3 linked regions of the Coturnix japonica genome follow. The protein of the gene in region 3 binds, or shares a complex with, the protein of the main gene of each other region. Links are inferred from orthologs where the notes say so. Each region holds a gene or a part of one and is shown on either strand. Other genes may lie near its edges.

The links.
Region 1: CDC40 (region 3) and RBM22 share a complex: the UniProt entries of both Homo sapiens proteins name them as parts of the postcatalytic spliceosome P complex. The link is inferred for Coturnix japonica from reciprocal best matches to the Homo sapiens genes CDC40 and RBM22.
Region 2: CDC40 (region 3) and BCAS2 share a complex: the UniProt entries of both Homo sapiens proteins name them as parts of the postcatalytic spliceosome P complex. The link is inferred for Coturnix japonica from reciprocal best matches to the Homo sapiens genes CDC40 and BCAS2.

What each region holds. Positions count from the first base shown.
Region 1 is NC_029528.1:4,990,694-4,996,659, forward strand, and holds the start of RBM22 (pre-mRNA-splicing factor RBM22), read right to left. Parts: upstream 4,039-5,966; 5' UTR 3,968-4,038; coding exon 3,914-3,967; intron 3,363-3,913; coding exon 3,309-3,362; intron 2,353-3,308; coding exon 2,323-2,352; intron 1,359-2,322; coding exon 1,226-1,358; intron 969-1,225; coding exon 868-968; intron 683-867; coding exon 510-682; intron 1-509. UniProt on the Homo sapiens protein: Required for pre-mRNA splicing as component of the activated spliceosome. Involved in the first step of pre-mRNA splicing.
Region 2 is NC_029541.1:3,876,324-3,881,846, forward strand, and holds BCAS2 (pre-mRNA-splicing factor SPF27), read right to left. Parts: upstream 3,652-5,523; 5' UTR 3,608-3,651; coding exon 3,515-3,607; intron 3,440-3,514; coding exon 3,347-3,439; intron 3,142-3,346; coding exon 3,071-3,141; intron 3,010-3,070; coding exon 2,848-3,009; intron 2,568-2,847; coding exon 2,517-2,567; intron 2,350-2,516; coding exon 2,269-2,349; intron 1,954-2,268; coding exon 1,827-1,953; 3' UTR 1,739-1,826; downstream 1-1,738. Other genes in the region: E3 ubiquitin-protein ligase TRIM33, read right to left, coding at 1,009-1,453; DENND2C (DENN domain-containing protein 2C), read right to left, coding at 3,825-3,856, 4,198-4,284, 4,521-4,760, 4,848-4,953, 5,200-5,241. UniProt on the Homo sapiens protein: Required for pre-mRNA splicing as component of the activated spliceosome. Component of the PRP19-CDC5L complex that forms an integral part of the spliceosome and is required for activating pre-mRNA splicing.
Region 3 is NC_029518.1:60,609,069-60,614,469, reverse strand, and holds part of CDC40 (pre-mRNA-processing factor 17), read left to right. Parts: intron 1-1,382; coding exon 1,383-1,459; intron 1,460-3,489; coding exon 3,490-3,634; intron 3,635-4,533; coding exon 4,534-4,711; 3' UTR 4,712-5,401. UniProt on the Homo sapiens protein: Required for pre-mRNA splicing as component of the activated spliceosome. Plays an important role in embryonic brain development; this function does not require proline isomerization.

The sequences.
Region 1 (5,966 bases), on a different chromosome or scaffold from region 3:
CCCCTCTAAACACCATCTGGTTGCTTATATGCTTAACCCTGCTCACAGAAAGATGTCAAAATGGAACAAAAAGCCTGAAGAAGTCAGGCTGGGGCTATCAACATGCTACTGGCACAACTGCCTGGAGTTCGGAATGAATGGCACTTCTGACAGCCAAGCATTCAATACTACAAAACCTAAGAGCTGGATTTCAAATGGCCTCTTGTTCAAATACAAAGACCTCTGATTGTGGGGACTGACGCCACGTTAGGAAGAAATGAACTATGCAAGAGAAGAGCTGCAGTCACTGCTTTGGCAAAACACTACGAACCTACGCAGCAAATTCCTCACAAATGAGCCTGTCACAACAAAGATTTATTCATGGATGCTGCACACCACCTTACTGCAGATCTCACATCAACTCCAATCCCAGTGCTGCAGCCCCTGCCCACTGCAGGACTGTTCTTCAGTCCCTAAGGGGAAGCGTATCTGACCACAGTGAAAAGAAACTATTTAAGATGTGTGTGTACCTGTAAGGACATTCTTCTCCTCTCTTGCATTCCCCTTTTACCCAGAAGGAACAGATGTGAGGACGATTACGTTTATAGTAAGGAGTGGTCCGAGCCAGTTTCAGCAGCATGTCACTGGTAGAAGTTGCTTTTCCTAGTGCACCAACTGGTCTAGTGCCATCAGAGTTGGCTATCTATACAGCAGTTAAAAGGCAGGCAAGTTATTATAAATATATCTCTCAATACTGACATGTAATGCAGAATGAAAATAAACACAGATATTAAGATGATGTGGGTCATTCTTTTTCAAAGAAAGTGTTTGACTCCCTCCCTCCCCCGTACACATCCATACACAGAGATCATAAAGACACTTTCTTACCTCTCGTTCCATGTTCTGGGTGTAATACTCTTTATTGACATCAGATTTAGGCATTTCATCCTTAAGGGACAGTCCTGCATCCCGGACTTGAATAGGCAAACCTAGAATTAAACAAACAAAAAAACCCTATGAAGCACAAGCTGAAAGAGCAAAAAACCAGTTGCTAGAACTCACATTAAGCAGAGATAACTTGTCTCCTGCACAAGCTGCCCCTGAATCTCAGAAGAGATCTGATCACAAAGACTTGTTCTGAGTCTGTCTGGAAACAACTACGCCAGTTTCACACACACATTTAAAGAAGCTTTCACTTCAGAAGCAGAACTGCTGCTTCTCTTAGTTTCCCCTCTTTGGTACACACCATATTCCAGGTCAAGCAGACAGGTTTGACAGACATTCTTCAACTTGCTGCAGGTTTGGCACACTTCTGTTTTCTTGAAACGCATACGAACACCAGGACACCAGCGAAACACTGTGAAAGGCCTGGCACAAATCTGAAAGACACAAAGTAGACAAGTGAACTGCTATCACAGCACAGCCAAGATGCCGCTCGAGTTCCTGCATAGAAGCGTACAACTCAAACACGCCCAGCCTCCCTGAAATCTAAGTCCAACTGCATCATCTTAAAGTTCTAGGCAAAAAAGTTCAAGAGCTCCGGATAATACTGATTGCTATTTGCTGCCATACTGTGACAGGAGGAAGCTTTGGGAAGGTCTGGAGTTATTAAAGTAACCTGAATGCTGAAAGCAGATCTACTCAAAGGATTCATTTTTTATTCCAGATGGAATATAATAGCTCCAGCGTGGAGCTATTAGAGACAAATTACCAATTACGTGTAAATTGAGCAGTCACTGAAACAGCAGCAAGCCCAATGAGAGCTTATTGATAAAAAAGTACTGCCCCATTTGTTATGTGTTGGAAAGATGCATCTGCTTCTGCTGCACATTTGAGGAGCAGAAGCAAGATCTCAGCACATACCTTGTCTGTGCCTCAGGTGACAACTGATAAAGGGGGCAGAGGGACAAATCAAGTCAAGTAAAAGCTAAATAATTCCTGCTCTCTCAGTTACAAACCTGTCTTATTTCATACAATAACTAACACTAATTGATAGCTGGCAAAAAACAGCAGATTCAGAGCAAAACCAAAACTGTTGTTACTTACACATCACATAGCAGTAAAAACAAACTTGCAACAGGAAATATAAGATACTCGAGCAAAACCTAATAATTCTCATAAACGTGAGCAAATCTTAACTCCGTTAGAACAACCTTTTACAGCTCAAGAACAATGAACATGGAGATGATACACCTCACATTCCATGCAGTTATGTGTGCATTAAGCTCTCAGCCAAGATAAACTCTTTCGTGACGCCAGCAGATCTTTTGAGAACCAAAACCCACATTACAGCCAGATGTTCACCAATACAGAAGCTCGTTCTTCAAAAGACAACCAACGTACCTTGCATTCTTTTCCATATTTCTCTTTGGTCTGAAATATAATAAATAAGAAGGGAGAGAAAACATGAGATATTAAAACATTGTGAATGATGAAACGTACCATTGAACTTACAGCACAGTGATCCTGTTCTTATTATAGTACATGTAGACTGGCTCACCTCTACTTTTGGTGCTTAAGCAGAATCTCCCCTTGCCTGGCAAAGAGGACCACAAAGATCTAAGAAACTCTCAACCTGTTTTCTGTTTTAGAAGCACCCATTAAAACAAAGTATTATGAGCCCAACTTCACGTACCATAGAGAAATGATCATGAAACAGGTCATTAGTAGCTATTTTTAAGCGAAGATGATGCAACTGCATAAAACAAATGCACCAAAACAAGCCATTTTTTACATATCTATGCTGACAATCGTGTCATGCTTCATAAAAACATAACAGCTCTCAGCAAACTTGGGGAAAGGAAATGTGAGGCAAAGATAATCTGCAGGTATGGCATAATTGGGCTGAGCACTGAGAAAAGGAACATGGAATGGCCTGACTCATCTGGGGCAGATGAAACCAAAGTCAACAAAACAGCACTGAAATTGCTGCCAGCAGCCTTTGTATGACAGTTCAGGTTCATTTTCATGTTATGCACGTTAGAAATGGTGCTCATCTATTTAATATCCCAGCAGCTCGTTGCTTCCCACGTCACACGACTTACTGGTATCAAAGCTTTACTGGTATTTCCTGCACTGCAGACATTACAGCGTGACATCCTGCTCAGCTTTTTGACTGAGTTATTGTTATAAACCTGCACCGACCACCATGACATGATGCACTAACAAAGGCATGAAGTGAACCCTGCAGTGCACGGCCAAATGGCCAGGAATGCACATGTCCTCAGCATCCCCCCTTGCTTGAGCACTCAGAAGCAAAGAGTTCAGTGTTAATCAGCACCCAACACAGAGTACAGGGCCGCACTGTCCAAGCAGCACATAGCACATACCATGCGAATGTATGGGTTTTCTCCGAGACACGTCTGGCACAGAATGGGGAAGTCCTGAGAGGAGGAAAAAGAAGGAAAATGTGCACAGAGCGACCAAACCATCACGATAACAATGGAATCAGCCCTCAGTGCTCACCCTGAATCACAGAATGACCCGGGTTGGAAGGGACCTCAAGGATCATGTAGTTCCAACCCCCCTGCCTGGCAGGGCCAACAAACATACACCTTTATAGATCAGGTTGCCCAGGGCCCCGTCCAATCTGGCCTTGAACACCTCCAAGGACGGGGCATCCACCCTGCCGAGCAAACCCAGCCTGACTGAGCAAGGAGCCAACAGAATCTGCTCATAGAGGCCGTGTGAGCAGCTGCAGCCCACGTCCTTGTTCCCTTGTTCCCTTATCCTTATTATAATGATGGCAGCACAGCAGCCAGGCCCGTTCTAACACCCACCTCACACACCTCACACACACACACACAGGCCACCCCCAGCCCTGAGTGCCCCATGGCGCCGGCCCAGCCCCCATGCAGCTCCCAGCCCCCATCCAGAGCACAGCCCCCATACAGATCACGGCACTGCACTGCCGGCCGGATCCCGTCCCACTCACCGCATCCTCCCAGTTCTGCCTGTTGTAAGTGTTGGAGCCCAGCGATGTCGACATGGCGGCCCCTCCGCCTCGATCCCGGCAGGCGGCGGGACCCGGAAGTGATGTCACTTCCGCTGCGGGATGGCACTTCCGTGCAGGAAGAGCGGCGGGGGCGCTCTAGGCTCTGCTAACCATAGAGTTGAGCCGGAGTGGCGGAATGAATGGCAATAGGGACAAAAGCATTGGGGGGTGCTCAGCTCTTTATGTTCTAATTATCACTATTTCCCCACTAACGGCGGTGTAAATAACAGCGCAGAGCCTGAGAGCCAAGGTCGCTTTATTGAAGGTTACTACATGAAGTTATAAGCAATAAGGCAAACAGCCGCCTGTCATTAACACCGAGAACTCCTGAGCCCCGGGAGAAAGGACGGACAGACGGACAGACAGAGCTGACGGCAATTCCTATCGCCTACAAGCACCTAAAGGGGACAAACCCGGCCCAACCGGGAGCTGCAGCCACAGGGCTCCATCAGCGTCCCAATAGCTGCTTCCATAGGTAGTAGTGTTACTAGTTTGGCTAAGGAGAGAACTCATGGCCAAGGCTTAAGTGTTTTGTTATCCGGAAGGTAAAACAGCAGCAGACACTAGCGTTATACATAAATAAATACAAAGTACACTTCTTCAGCTCATGCTGTGCACCTGTGTGCAACCCAGGCGTTGTAAACGTGCTGACTTGCTGCTCTGGGAGGTGCTGCAGGAGCAGGGCTGTGAGGTGGGTGCTTCCCTTTGAGGGGCACTAAGGCTGCTCGGTTTGCAATGTGGCCTTATCCCTCCCATCCCACATAAGGATTTGAAGCTCAAAGCCGGCCTTGGCTGACTCACTAACTTCACCCTAAGCCAGCACATCAAAGCCCATCAGAAACGGGTAATGAAAGTAAACATTGAACTGGGAATGAAACTAAAGCCTCCCAAGGACAAGCAGTCTCACCCACTTGCAGTGAACTGGCATTCAGTATCCTGCATACACTCTTAATTAAAGTTGCAGTTTGGACTATGGCCGAATTACACCCCATATATATATATATATATATATAAACAGCAGTACAGTGTATGCTAGTTACAGTATAACAGCCTTTCTTCCTTTATACCCCCAACCCCACAGCTGGAAAAGACAGTATGAACTTGGACAGCCCCTGTAGTTTTTTAGTATGCTAGAACTAATCTCAATGCTCTGAGCTTAGTACTGATTGCTATATCCCTATTAACACACATTTATTAACACAAAGACTGACAGGCAGCCTCTCAGGACCACTCTCACCTCAGTAAAGAAACGTAGCACAATGGGACTTCCCAGCTTCTAACAATTCACACTACCACATCCACCTTGCAACACAACGAGCCTACAGTGCGGTTGGCGGCCACTCAGATCCGTGAACACTGCAGTATATCACGTTTTGAGACTGAAGACAAAGTGATCATTTCCTTTGTGAAAAGATTTATCACTTTGGCTAAGGAAACTACATATGCCAGAGTGTTTTTACCCTCCCCCCTCCCCACAAGAACATAACGAGTTGTACATCTGAGTGCCCCACATTTATTTGAGGTATCCTAACAGGAAGCAAAAGACAAAGGAAAGAAAGCATCATGCTGCAGCAACAGACTTGTCAGTAATGCAGCAGGCACTGCCACCTCCTAAAATGGTTGCTTGGGCATAGCTCCGTGTGGGGAATAAGTTCACTTTTGTGTGTGTAACATTAGGTTCGTGGGCTGACATGAAAGAAGAAGAAAAACAATTAGGGTTTCTTTTTTGTTGCTAAAGCCAAATTCAGCCAGGAGTGGTGTGAATCTGGAGAAAGCTAGATCTCTATCTGCGTGCTGAAACACATGCTGAGAGTTAAACCAGCCTGTGGCAGTGTGGGGAAGCAGAGCTTTAGTCAGTGGGCACTACGATAAGAAAAGAGAACAAACCATCCCAAAGCACAGCACCCTCACCCACGCAGCCTCCTCCTGATGGCCTGGCTGCAGCCTGCGGCACACACCCACACATCACACAGGAGCTTTCACAGAAGGTTTC
Region 2 (5,523 bases), on a different chromosome or scaffold from region 3:
TGCAGAGTAGCACAGCACAGAGATGGCCTTTGGTTGCCCATAACCCACTACAGGAATAGCCACACATATTATTCTCCAATAATTCCTTCATGAAGCATCTGCTCACAGCTCAGGATACTACAGATGTGTGTCATTGCTCTTTAGTGACCCGCTGCACTAACACACACAGCTCCAGCAGCAGGGATCCTGCACACACACCTCACTAGTGACATCTGTAAGGTCCTGAGCAACAGATGAATCCTTATCTCAGCCCAGCACACCATCAAGCACTCTGACAATGTGGGTGACAAGAATTGAGATTCCAGGTTAGCAGTAACTCTGTGGTTTGGCTGGACCCGCACCCCAGCAGATATAGTCACACAGTGCTGCTGATTACTGGTACAATTAGCCTAACTTCATGAGCATCTCCCGGTACACGCCATGTAAAACACAAAGTCTGGATGTAACAAGAAAGATCCCAAGCTCAGAGTGCTTCAGTTGGTGTGTTTAGAAACTACCATGGGAGATTCGTGCTTGAGGAAGCGATGCTCGGACCCATGGTCGGTTTGCAGCAGTCAGCACGGCCGGCAGAACCAGCACGGCCGGGAAATTCCTTGTGGGCCGTGTGACGACACATCAAAACGATACAGAGAGGAGCCCTCCCAAAGCCAAACAGGTGTCACCGAGCACAGTCCTGCCGGCCACGGGCTGAGTCCAACCTCCTTCCATAGCGCAGAATGTACCCGCGTGTCCCACCCCCGGACGGCTCAACACCCGGCAGCACCACGGCCCTAACGCTGCAGCCCTGGAAGCCAAAACAAGCAGCACGACGCCATCCACACCGCCATCCCCAGCGAGCACATGGACGTGCGAGCTCCGGCTTCACGTGGAACGGCGACACGAGAGAGCGGCTGCCACAGCCGGGAAGCAGAGCCCGGGGGATGGCGGCACCGCAATGCCGGCGGTCACGGACACAGCCCCGGCAGGAGACACGGCACAGCCCGGTATCGCGCCCGCCGCCCCGCTCACCTTGCTGCACGTCGCCGTTGGCTCCGCCGGGTACGGGCACGCTGAGCTGCCGCTCGGGCTCGGGCAGACAGCGGCGGCAGAAGGAGTGCAGGCACGGCAGCAGTTTGGGCTCGGCCTCGCGCCGGCTCTGCAGGCTCTGCGCGCACACGGCGCAGGTGTCCAGCAGCGAGAACGGCCCCGGAGCCGCCGGAGTCAGCGGGGGAACCGGGCTGGGGCCCGGCCCAGGAACCACCCCGGGCCCCGCCTCGGCCTCGGCCTCCCCGAGCCCACGCTCCGCCGCCGGTGCCGCTCCGGGGCTCTCCCGCTCCTCCGGAGGCGCCGCGGATGGCGCTGGCGGCGCCGCAGCCGAAGGGGACGCGGCCGCGGGCTCAATGGAGCCGGCTCCGCCCGGCCCGGGCTCGGCCGCCCCCTCCCCGCCGCCGCCGCCTCCTTTGTTTTCCGCCATGTTTCCTCCTTTGAACCCAACTCCCCGCTCCGCTCACGCACTGCGTCACCACGCGACGTGCGCGCTCCACGGCGGGAGGGCGGGGCGGGGGCGCGCGCAGGCGTGGACAGACGAGACGTGACGTCACGTGACGCACCGCCGGATAGAGCGCCGCCCACACCTCTCAAACGCAATTACCGACCGGCCGCGAGCGCCCCCACGCGGGTGGAGGCCGCAGCCACAAGTCGCAGCGCTGCTGATAAGCTGCTGATAAGCCCGGCGCTGAACAGCCCTTATCAGCCAGGAGGGGAGATAAGCAGCCTTTATTGGGCAAAGCAGTTTATTACAGCGCCGTAGGAAACGTACAAACACGGAGTTCAGGAGGGAGCAGCGTTCAGAAGTCCTGCTGGATGTTCTCCTTGTTGGCCTCCCCGTGCTGCTGTTTGATCTGGGATATCTCGTTCTCCAGCTGTACAATGGTCCGTTCAATCTCGTAGTTCTTACTGACAAGGGACACCCAGCTGCAAGGGAATGATTCATAGAGCATTAAGGTGTTTGCCATAACAAAGCACAACACCAACATCAGCCCCAACACAGCTCAGCTGACAGCAGGAGCAACCTGAACAAGGTTACAAGATGCTTCCAACTATTAAACCTCAATGTATAATGCAGGAAATGAAACGTTGTAAGGAAAAAAGGGCTAAAAACCATCAACACGGAGCTGAACCATGCACCCTCTAAAGCACCCTGTGCAAACCAATAGCAGCCGTGTGATGGTTTGCTATGACAGCACTGTTCCCCGTAAGGGGGTGTTAGAATAAATCCCAGCTACTCACGTGGATTCCATCTCTCGTAGCTTCGCTCCTGCTGTCAGCTGCATGTTCTTTCGTTGCCAGTTCAGATCCTGAATGCTTTTCCTGAGGGGAAAAAAACAACATGAAGAGACCTGTGTTGGTCTTGTCCTCCTTCATCTCATTTACTCATGAATGCAGTTTGAAATTGGCTGCCCTGGAAGCTCCTACCCCAAAGTAGGAGTTTCTATATCCCTTCCAACCTCTGTATAGAGCTATGAAAAACCACTCACCGCAACCTCTGAAGCTCCTTCTGGGCTTGTTCTATCATATGAACCAGGTGTCTGAGAGCAGAATGGAAGCAAAGCAAGAGAAAAAACACACAGTTACTAAATAAGATCAATTTAACCAGCCTCACATATAACCCTCCTAGAAGAGCCCAGCATGCAGCCATCCACTAAAGGCAAGCAGCTGTCTGAAACAGCCCCAGAGCTTCTCAAAGCCACACTTCCATGTGTTTCTTAGCCATTTCAACAGTGGCTTCAGGTGAGGAGGATCAGGACAGCATTATCTGCAGCCACCACACCACCATTTCCCATGCTGTCTCTCCATCCCCAGCCTTACTCATTGTACACCTTCCAGGCGTTGCAGCCGTGCTGGGACATCAGCTCCAGGTTCTCAATGCGCACTGCCTGGTGCTCCAGCTGCGCCATGGAGTTGTTAACACACTCCTGCCACGCCGTGATGTCGTTCTTCTGCCCGGAGGATGGAGCCGGTAGTTCATACCTGGAACGGAGCACGGTTCGGATCCCACCCAGAGCCAGACCAGGAGCCCCCCCTCACTCACCTCTTCATGCTGAGCAGCTCCAGGGGCTGCCGGGCCGCCAGGCGCTCAAACTCGTTCCGCATGATCTCGGTCTGCAGGGAGAGGGCAATAAGGGGCCGTGAGTGTCAATGAGGGGTTGTGAGGGGCCGTGAGGGGCCGTGAGGGGCACTGAGGGGCAATGAGGGGCACTGAGGGGCAATGAGGGGCACTGAGGGGCACTGAGGGGCACTGAGGGTCAATGAGGGTCAATGAGGGGCAATGAGGGGCACTGAGGGGCGGCTGGCCGTGTTGGCTCACCTCGAAGGCGCTGCAGTCGTGTGCCGGCAGGTAGCTCAGGTAGTTCTTCGTGGGCCGGTAGCGCCGCGTCTCCTCCTCCACCAGAGCCGCAGCCTAGCCGGGATCGCACCGCCTCAGCTCAGCTCAGCCCAGCCCAACCCGGCTCGGCCCGACCCGGCCCGCACTCACCGCCTCCCGCACGCCCGGCGCCTCGTATCCCTGATCGAAGTACGGCAGCGCATCCACCACCACGTCCCCCGCCACCAGCCCGGGCCCCGCCATGATGGTTACCACTACCGCGCATGCGCACACCCCAGGCCTAGACTCACGGCGCGGCCCCGCCCTCATCCCGCCCCGCCCACAGAGGAGAGGACACGCTGATTGGTTGCGGCACTGCGGCGTGTTATGGCGGCACGGAGCCGCCTCAGCTGCACAGGGAGCAATGAGTCCGGCCCCGGGATGGGGTTGGTTGTCCAACCGCCTCATTGAGGCTCCACGTTCATTTCTTCTGGAGAAATCTCATCTTACTTCCTACAGAAAAGAAAAACAACAAGAAAAAAAGCACGTTAAGCCTTCGAGACGCATCATTTGGACGCTGAATGACAGTTTCACACATAAAACCACAGAACAGCCTGGGTTAAAAAGGTTAAAAAGGTTAAAAAGGGCCACAATGCATCTAGTTCTAACTCCCTGCTATATGCAGGGTCACCTACCAGCAGCCCAGGCTGCCCAGAGCCACATCCAGCCTGGCCTTGAATGCCTGCAGGGATGGGGCTCCCACAGCCTCCTTGGAGAGGCAAAGGAAAGCAGCATGTGTGCACAAAGCGAAATACTGCAGGGAAATAAGCTAAATAAATGAGGTGTCTCTTTACCGAGAGTGCGAAGGATTCTGTTCATCCCTGTGGGCTCAGACTCGGGGATGCTCTCCAAATACTCCAAGGCACGGACCTCAAAAAGGCCTAAAGAGATAGAAGAGATGGATGAGATCCTCAGGCGTTAACATTGTGTGTGTAAGGCCACAGGACCGAAGCCAGGCAGGAGACAAAGGCATCTTCTGCTTAATAAGATTACTGAATAATTAGAAGGGCATGGAGCTATTAACATACGCCAATAGGAAATACTGCTGGGGCAAAAAGGCTTTGTAAGAGTTAAAGATATGAGAGATGTGGAATTTTGTAAAACAAGAAAGCCTCACCTTTGACAGCACTCTTACGTAGCTCTCGATCCTGTATGAACCCTGCAAACATCTGCGTCTCCATGAAGAAGTGCAGGAAATGGCGCACGTTGCGCGACGTGTGGGATTTACGGAATGGCTCCCGCTGGAACACCCGCTCTCCTTTCTCTGTGACATTCATGTGCAGGGAATAGTGACCCACGATCTCCACAAAGAAGTGCACGAAAGCTTCAGAGACCAGGGAGTTAAGAGGGACATCACCTGTGAGGAGAAACATCCCTCTAATATGAGTCATCATTGAGAGGGTCATCTAAAAGAAGAGCGCCAGATGCTTTTCCATAGGTGTACCTTGTAGGCAGCTCTGCTCATGTGACAAGATTTCATTTCTCTCCTCCAAAATTTGGACAAGTGCAGCCTGGAGTTTATGAGGCAGAATTTCTTCTTCATCTGATACCTGAACAGAAAAGTGACCATGAAAGCTTTTTGCATCAAACATATTCAACAGAAACTGATGAGAAACCACAGCCTTGCAACTAATCTGTTCCCTTATCTAGTGATGAAAAAGGAATGCAAGATATTTCTTCAGCCTACAGATATAAACGAGGTTTAACTGATTTCTTGCCTACGTTGGTAGATGCCTATTCTTGGCATATAACACCACCAAGAGTAACTCATGCTGTAATCTCACTCTTTCACTCACCTCTTGCAAAAACTTGTCAGCACAAAGATCAACAATCAGAACCTGGGGAAATACAGACAAAAATATTAGCTCTATGTTGCCATGCAGAAGGAAAAGGACTATAACTTTATATATAACATTTCGTTTGTCCCCAGGGGTAGGGGATGTCACACAACACAAATCACAAGTTTTGTGTAACTTCAGCCTGTCTATAAGAACAGACAATATTATTTATCTTTGAAGGCAAAGAAATGTGCTGGCATGTATCTTGCAAGTTAAAAACTGCCTCAGAAAGGTTTAAGGCTTTACATTAAGACAGAATCCACAGAGATTCTTCCAAGGAAC
Region 3 (5,401 bases):
TTGATGGCTGAAATAAATAGCGGAGTGGGTGGATTTTAGTCACTCTGTGGGGAAAAGACGGAAAGGCAGAAAGGTTCTGCTATGGGAACATTGCAACCTGATTGTTACAGTACCACGTTTTCTTTCTTCTGAAGCAAAAATCTGCACTGAGCATCCTGTATGCTGAAGAAGGGTTCAGACAATAGGGGACCCAACCTGTAGTTGATCTATGGTAACCAGTCTGCATATGTACATGATTTCAATCTCCAGATTTCTGCAGTGCATTATAACTCCTAATATATTCAGCACATCAGCTTTCCATATCAAACTGTTACATACCATAACTCAAATCGATGTTCTTTTTCTAAAGTTCATAAGGACAATTGTTACTAAATCTAGGGTGATTTCAATGTATTTCTTCACGTTCTTCAGCACAGTATTTCTTCAGTACCCTTCAGAAACAAAGCTGCCTTCAAAGTAATTATGACCTGAATATGGCCTTAAAAGCCAGTAATTAAAGCTGGACTAATTGCTTGGTTTCAATTGTTCAGAGAAATTTTGGAGCGGGTTTTGTAAATACTTTGACTTGGCCAAAGCTGGTAATGGGACGTCATGTCAGACTGCATTACAGTGAGCAGCTTCACCTCGGAGAATGTAAATGTCCTTTCCCTGAGAGTTCAGAGCACGCTCATAGGTTTCACAAGGACAGACTTAAAGATCTGGTAGTTTGTTCAGGAGTCTTAACCGGGAGTGCTTTAAAATTTGCCTGCTTTGCTTTTGATGTGAGTGTATCTTTACAGCAGTGATGGTAAAGCTAACATGGGTGTTATATTCTGTGTTTTACTTTCAGCAGTGCAAAACGTTATTTTCTCTTGCATCTAATTCTAATTGGATAAACAAATGAAATGATTTGGGCAACTGATATGAAGCTGTTTGAGTACTCCTCTAATAAAATGAAATGGAATTGAGACCGGGGAGTTCACAGCTGAGTTCAGCTATGAACATTAAGAATTGGTTGGCATCCCATTTGGGGAGATCAGGAGGAAAATGGCATTGTCAGAGGGAGTAGAATAAAACTGCTTTCTTTACGGTTGGTGTTTTTTTTAAGGGACTGGAGGCAATAGAGTATCTTTGTGTTACAGTTTCCCAATTGGAGTCAGGATTCTGCTGTAGGCTGTGGGTCATTTGGTTTGGGGTAAATTCCGTGCTACCAGAGGTTATCCTATAAATGGTTGCACAGCTGGAGTTCTCTAGGTGAGCACCCGTAATTTTGAGCTTATCCACATTCTTCTTTAGACAGCACTGCTGTGTTCTCAGTAGCTTAGTAAATCAGCTGTCTCAAGGCAGCCCTTTGGAATAATGTCTGCATGCCTTCCTAAAACACATACTTCTTCCTTTTGCAGGGACATTCCTGTAGACTTCAAGTATATTGCTGAGCCAAGTATGCATTCGATGCCAGCCGTGACTTTGTCTCCAAATGGTGGGTTAACAACTTCACTGCCTTCTCAGGCCGAGCTGACATGAAATGTCTCACTGATGATAGCTCTGTAATATTACCATCTTGTACTTCCCTGCTGCCCCTACAACCCCACCTTCCCAAAGACGTGTGTGCCTTTATTCCAAGATCAGACCGAATCTGGATTTAATAGTTTTGAGAAGACCAAATACGTCAAAATGAAGGGTTGTTACAGCATAGCTGTATCAGTTTAAAACGAGTGCAGCACAAATAGCATTTGCTCAGGAGAAACTCTGAGTTACCTCAGTGTTACTGTATGTTAATGCTTCCTTGGTGTTTATGTTCTTTGGTAACAACCAGACTGCAGGAGGACACGGGCTAAACGCCTCCAGCAGTAAGTGAAAAATCCCTCTAATAGGACAAAATCTCTTTTATGTGTGTTGGCCAAAATTCAATAGCTTTATTGCCAACGTTATTGAAGTGTTATAGATTTGCAGTTAACAGTCTAATTCGCTGAGCTGTGGCTGATCAACTTGTGTAGCCAGCGCATTCAGCCAGCTATCAGCATCAAATTACAGTTCCTTTGCAGTGTAAATATTTCATCCTTAACAATCGAGGCAGAGCCTTAATATTAAAAGGAAGATTCTGGAGAAAGACAGTGAACGTGAAAATTTTATGGAAGGAAATTTTCAGTTTCCTTCTGAATGCAGATGATTGTAACGGACCTTATAAAAACTAGAAGAGAATAACATGACTGGGGCAAGCACACTATTTATTTCTCTGGGAGGCTGAACTAAACTGTCTAATTCCAAGCTAGAAGCTGGATCAGATTTAAGGACAATCCAGCCCATTTTCTGTCATTGTTCAAATAAGATATGGAAGACAATGATAATATGTAGAGTTCAGGGCAGAAGCCTGTTGTAAACTATTCTGTAATGCATTGCCTTCACTGGATTCTCAGTTAAGAATTAATGCGGTGCCAAGATACAGAGTGAAATTAAAAGTAGAAAAGCCTTTTTATCATATTCCATTATGACACAGACAATTAAATAAGTCTCAAAAATATAAGGATCCTGAAACTCCTTAGTCACAGAATCACACAGAATGATCTGGGTTGGAAGGGACCTCAAGGATCACATAGTTCCAACCCCCCTGCCTGGCAGGGCCACCAAACATACACATTTACTAGATCAGGTTGCCCAGGGCCCCGTCCAACCTGGTCTTGAACACCTCCAAGGACGGGGCATCCANCCCCGTCCAACCTGGTCTTGAACACCTCCAAGGACGGGGCATCCACAACCTCCCTGGGCAGCCTGTTCCAGGGCCTAACCACTCTCCTAGTAAAGAAGTCCAGGTGACCATCTTAGGGTACCCACAAAAAAGGTTATCAAATAGATTACCTGTTGTTGTTTGTTTTTCCCTTCATCTGAATTACGTGATTGAGAGTTTATAATATCTGCACCAGAAAAACTTACTCAGTAGCTTAAAAAGGGATCAATTCATTAGTGCGGTTAACATAACAGGCAGAGCTTTTTAGAGTTCTCAGTGCATTTTGTAGGAACAGGCATCCCAAATCTTGTCAAGTATAGTTTTCTGCCTTCTGACAGTTATAACAGGTGGAAGTTGGGTTGGCCATCTTCCAGACCTTGTGATTCTGTGAAGTAATATCAGCTTCTACCAAGAAACTTTATTACATGATAAGATAGATTAGATTTAGGTTGGATATAAGGAAAAAATTGTTACTGTGAGGATTGCAAGGCACTGGAACAGGTTGCCCAGAGATGTGGTTGATGCCCCATCCCCGGTGACTTTAAAGGCCAAAATGGATCAGGTCCTGGGGAACCTGATCTAGCTATGGATGTCCCTGTTCACTGCAGGGGAGTTGGACTGGATGTCATTTAAAGGCCCCTTCCAACTCTAAGGATTCTGTGATTCTGTATTGAAAATCTGAATTAACACAGTGCATAAAAATTTGTGTGTGTCCCAAGCTTTCCAGCCAAGACTCTTTCTTTGTATGTGGCACTCTGTCAACTCCTCTTTCATTGCACTTCTAGGGAAATGGTTGGCTTGCCAGTCAATGGACAACCAAATTCTGATATTTGGAGCTCAGAACAGATTCAGATTGAACAAAAAGAAGATCTTCAAAGGTCACATGGTAGCTGGCTATGCTTGTCAAGTGGATTTTTCACCTGATATGAGGTGAGTTTTGTGGGAAAGGGCTTCATCTTAAACTCACAAGCACAGACACCAGATTTCTTTTTCAATCCTCTGCAACATTCATTGATGCACAGCCATCCTACTAACTCAGTAATAGGACAGAGCTCTCTAAGATGAGCAGAAGAAATTAAAGTTTGCTCTTCTTGTTTGACTGGACTAAGTATATTCAACAATTGCTATAAGAAACAGGTAAAAAGCAGCCAGCGTAGTCCAGATTCCCCATTCTCTAAAGACTTACTTTGCTGTGTTTAAGTATCCTGAGATTGCCCTTATTTTGCCCAGCCCTGGTGCAGCACAGACCTGCATCTGACTGTTTGCATTCAGTCAGCAGCAGCCTCCCCAGAGCCCTTCAGGCTCTGTTCCCACCATATGAACCTGTCTGGAACACCTGGAATTCAGATCTGCCTGCTTTTTCTTATTCAGAGGTCTGGTGTGCTGTATCCTCATTTAGCTGTTCAGAGATCTATCTTTTTCATCCTGTTTCCTTGGTAACCTGCCCATATGTTTACCACTGTATGTACATAAGCTATGCATTGCTATAAAAAGTGGAGAATAACCTCAGCAAAACGGGAGGAAAAAAGCAGAGAGAATGTCTATAACTTGCAGATGAACTTCTGGCACTTTCATCTTTTCCCAACGTGTTCTCTTCAGTCCCGGTAACACTGTGTGGGTGTAATCACATTGGTTAGCACATTTACCTCACAGCTGATGCATCACCTTCTGCAGGACTAGGTGTGCCTCAGAGCACAGCATGAATGCCAGTTCTCTGGCAGAGAAGATTTCAGACTGTCAGGTTGGGGAGGCTCACTGGGTGAAGCTCTATTCCATTTTTCAATATAAAGTGTTAGAATGCAAGTTTTATTTTAATCCCTTTATTGCAGCTACGTGATATCTGGAGACGCAGATGGAAAGCTTAACATCTGGGACTGGAAGACCACAAAACTCTACAGCAGAATAAAAGCACACGATAAAGTCTGCATTGGCGCGGTCTGGCATCCGCATGAAACTTCCAAAGTCATCACGTGCGGCTGGGATGGTCTCATTAAACTGTGGGATTAAAGAAGCTGCTGCAAGGATCTGAAGTTGTAAGCCCTGAGATCTGAGGTTGCAGTGAATTCTGCTGTAAGGACAGGTAGACGTGTTGTCATACAGCTGTTCGCGGCTGGCTGTATATATGCTCTGAGAGTGGAAAACCTTCAGAATGCTTGACTCAAAGGATAGTGTTCTAAACGCACCATCTGGCTGTGAGGATCTGCAGCGTACAGCATCAAGTCTTGGTTTGTCCTGTCACCTTCTGCACAAAATACTCTTGTAAAATAAAACAGATTTAAGAAAAACTATTTTTGTGGCTCTGGCTGTCAGAGAGGTGGGGAGTTCAAGGAGAAAACCAGCAACTGTGTCATCTTCTTCCTAAGAAGAAATCTTTGGTACCTGCTGTGACAGAGCTGGAAGTCGAGCATTTGTTTATGTTCCTTGGATGGCATTTTATTCTCCCTAAAATACTTCTACCTTTCTAGAACACAAAATCAGTTGCCTATGATGTCTGATAATTCACAGTAGAAATGAAGAACTGATCAGAAGTGCAGAGCCCTCAATTAGACTGTAATCAACTGAAGCCTGTATTCATAAAACCTTGGTGTGCCTGGTTTGCCTGTGTTTAACAATTGCATCGTGCTGATGACCAAGTGTCATCCTTACAAGTACCCCTCAGCTTCCACGTAAGGTACCAGGTGTTTTTTCTCTTCCCAT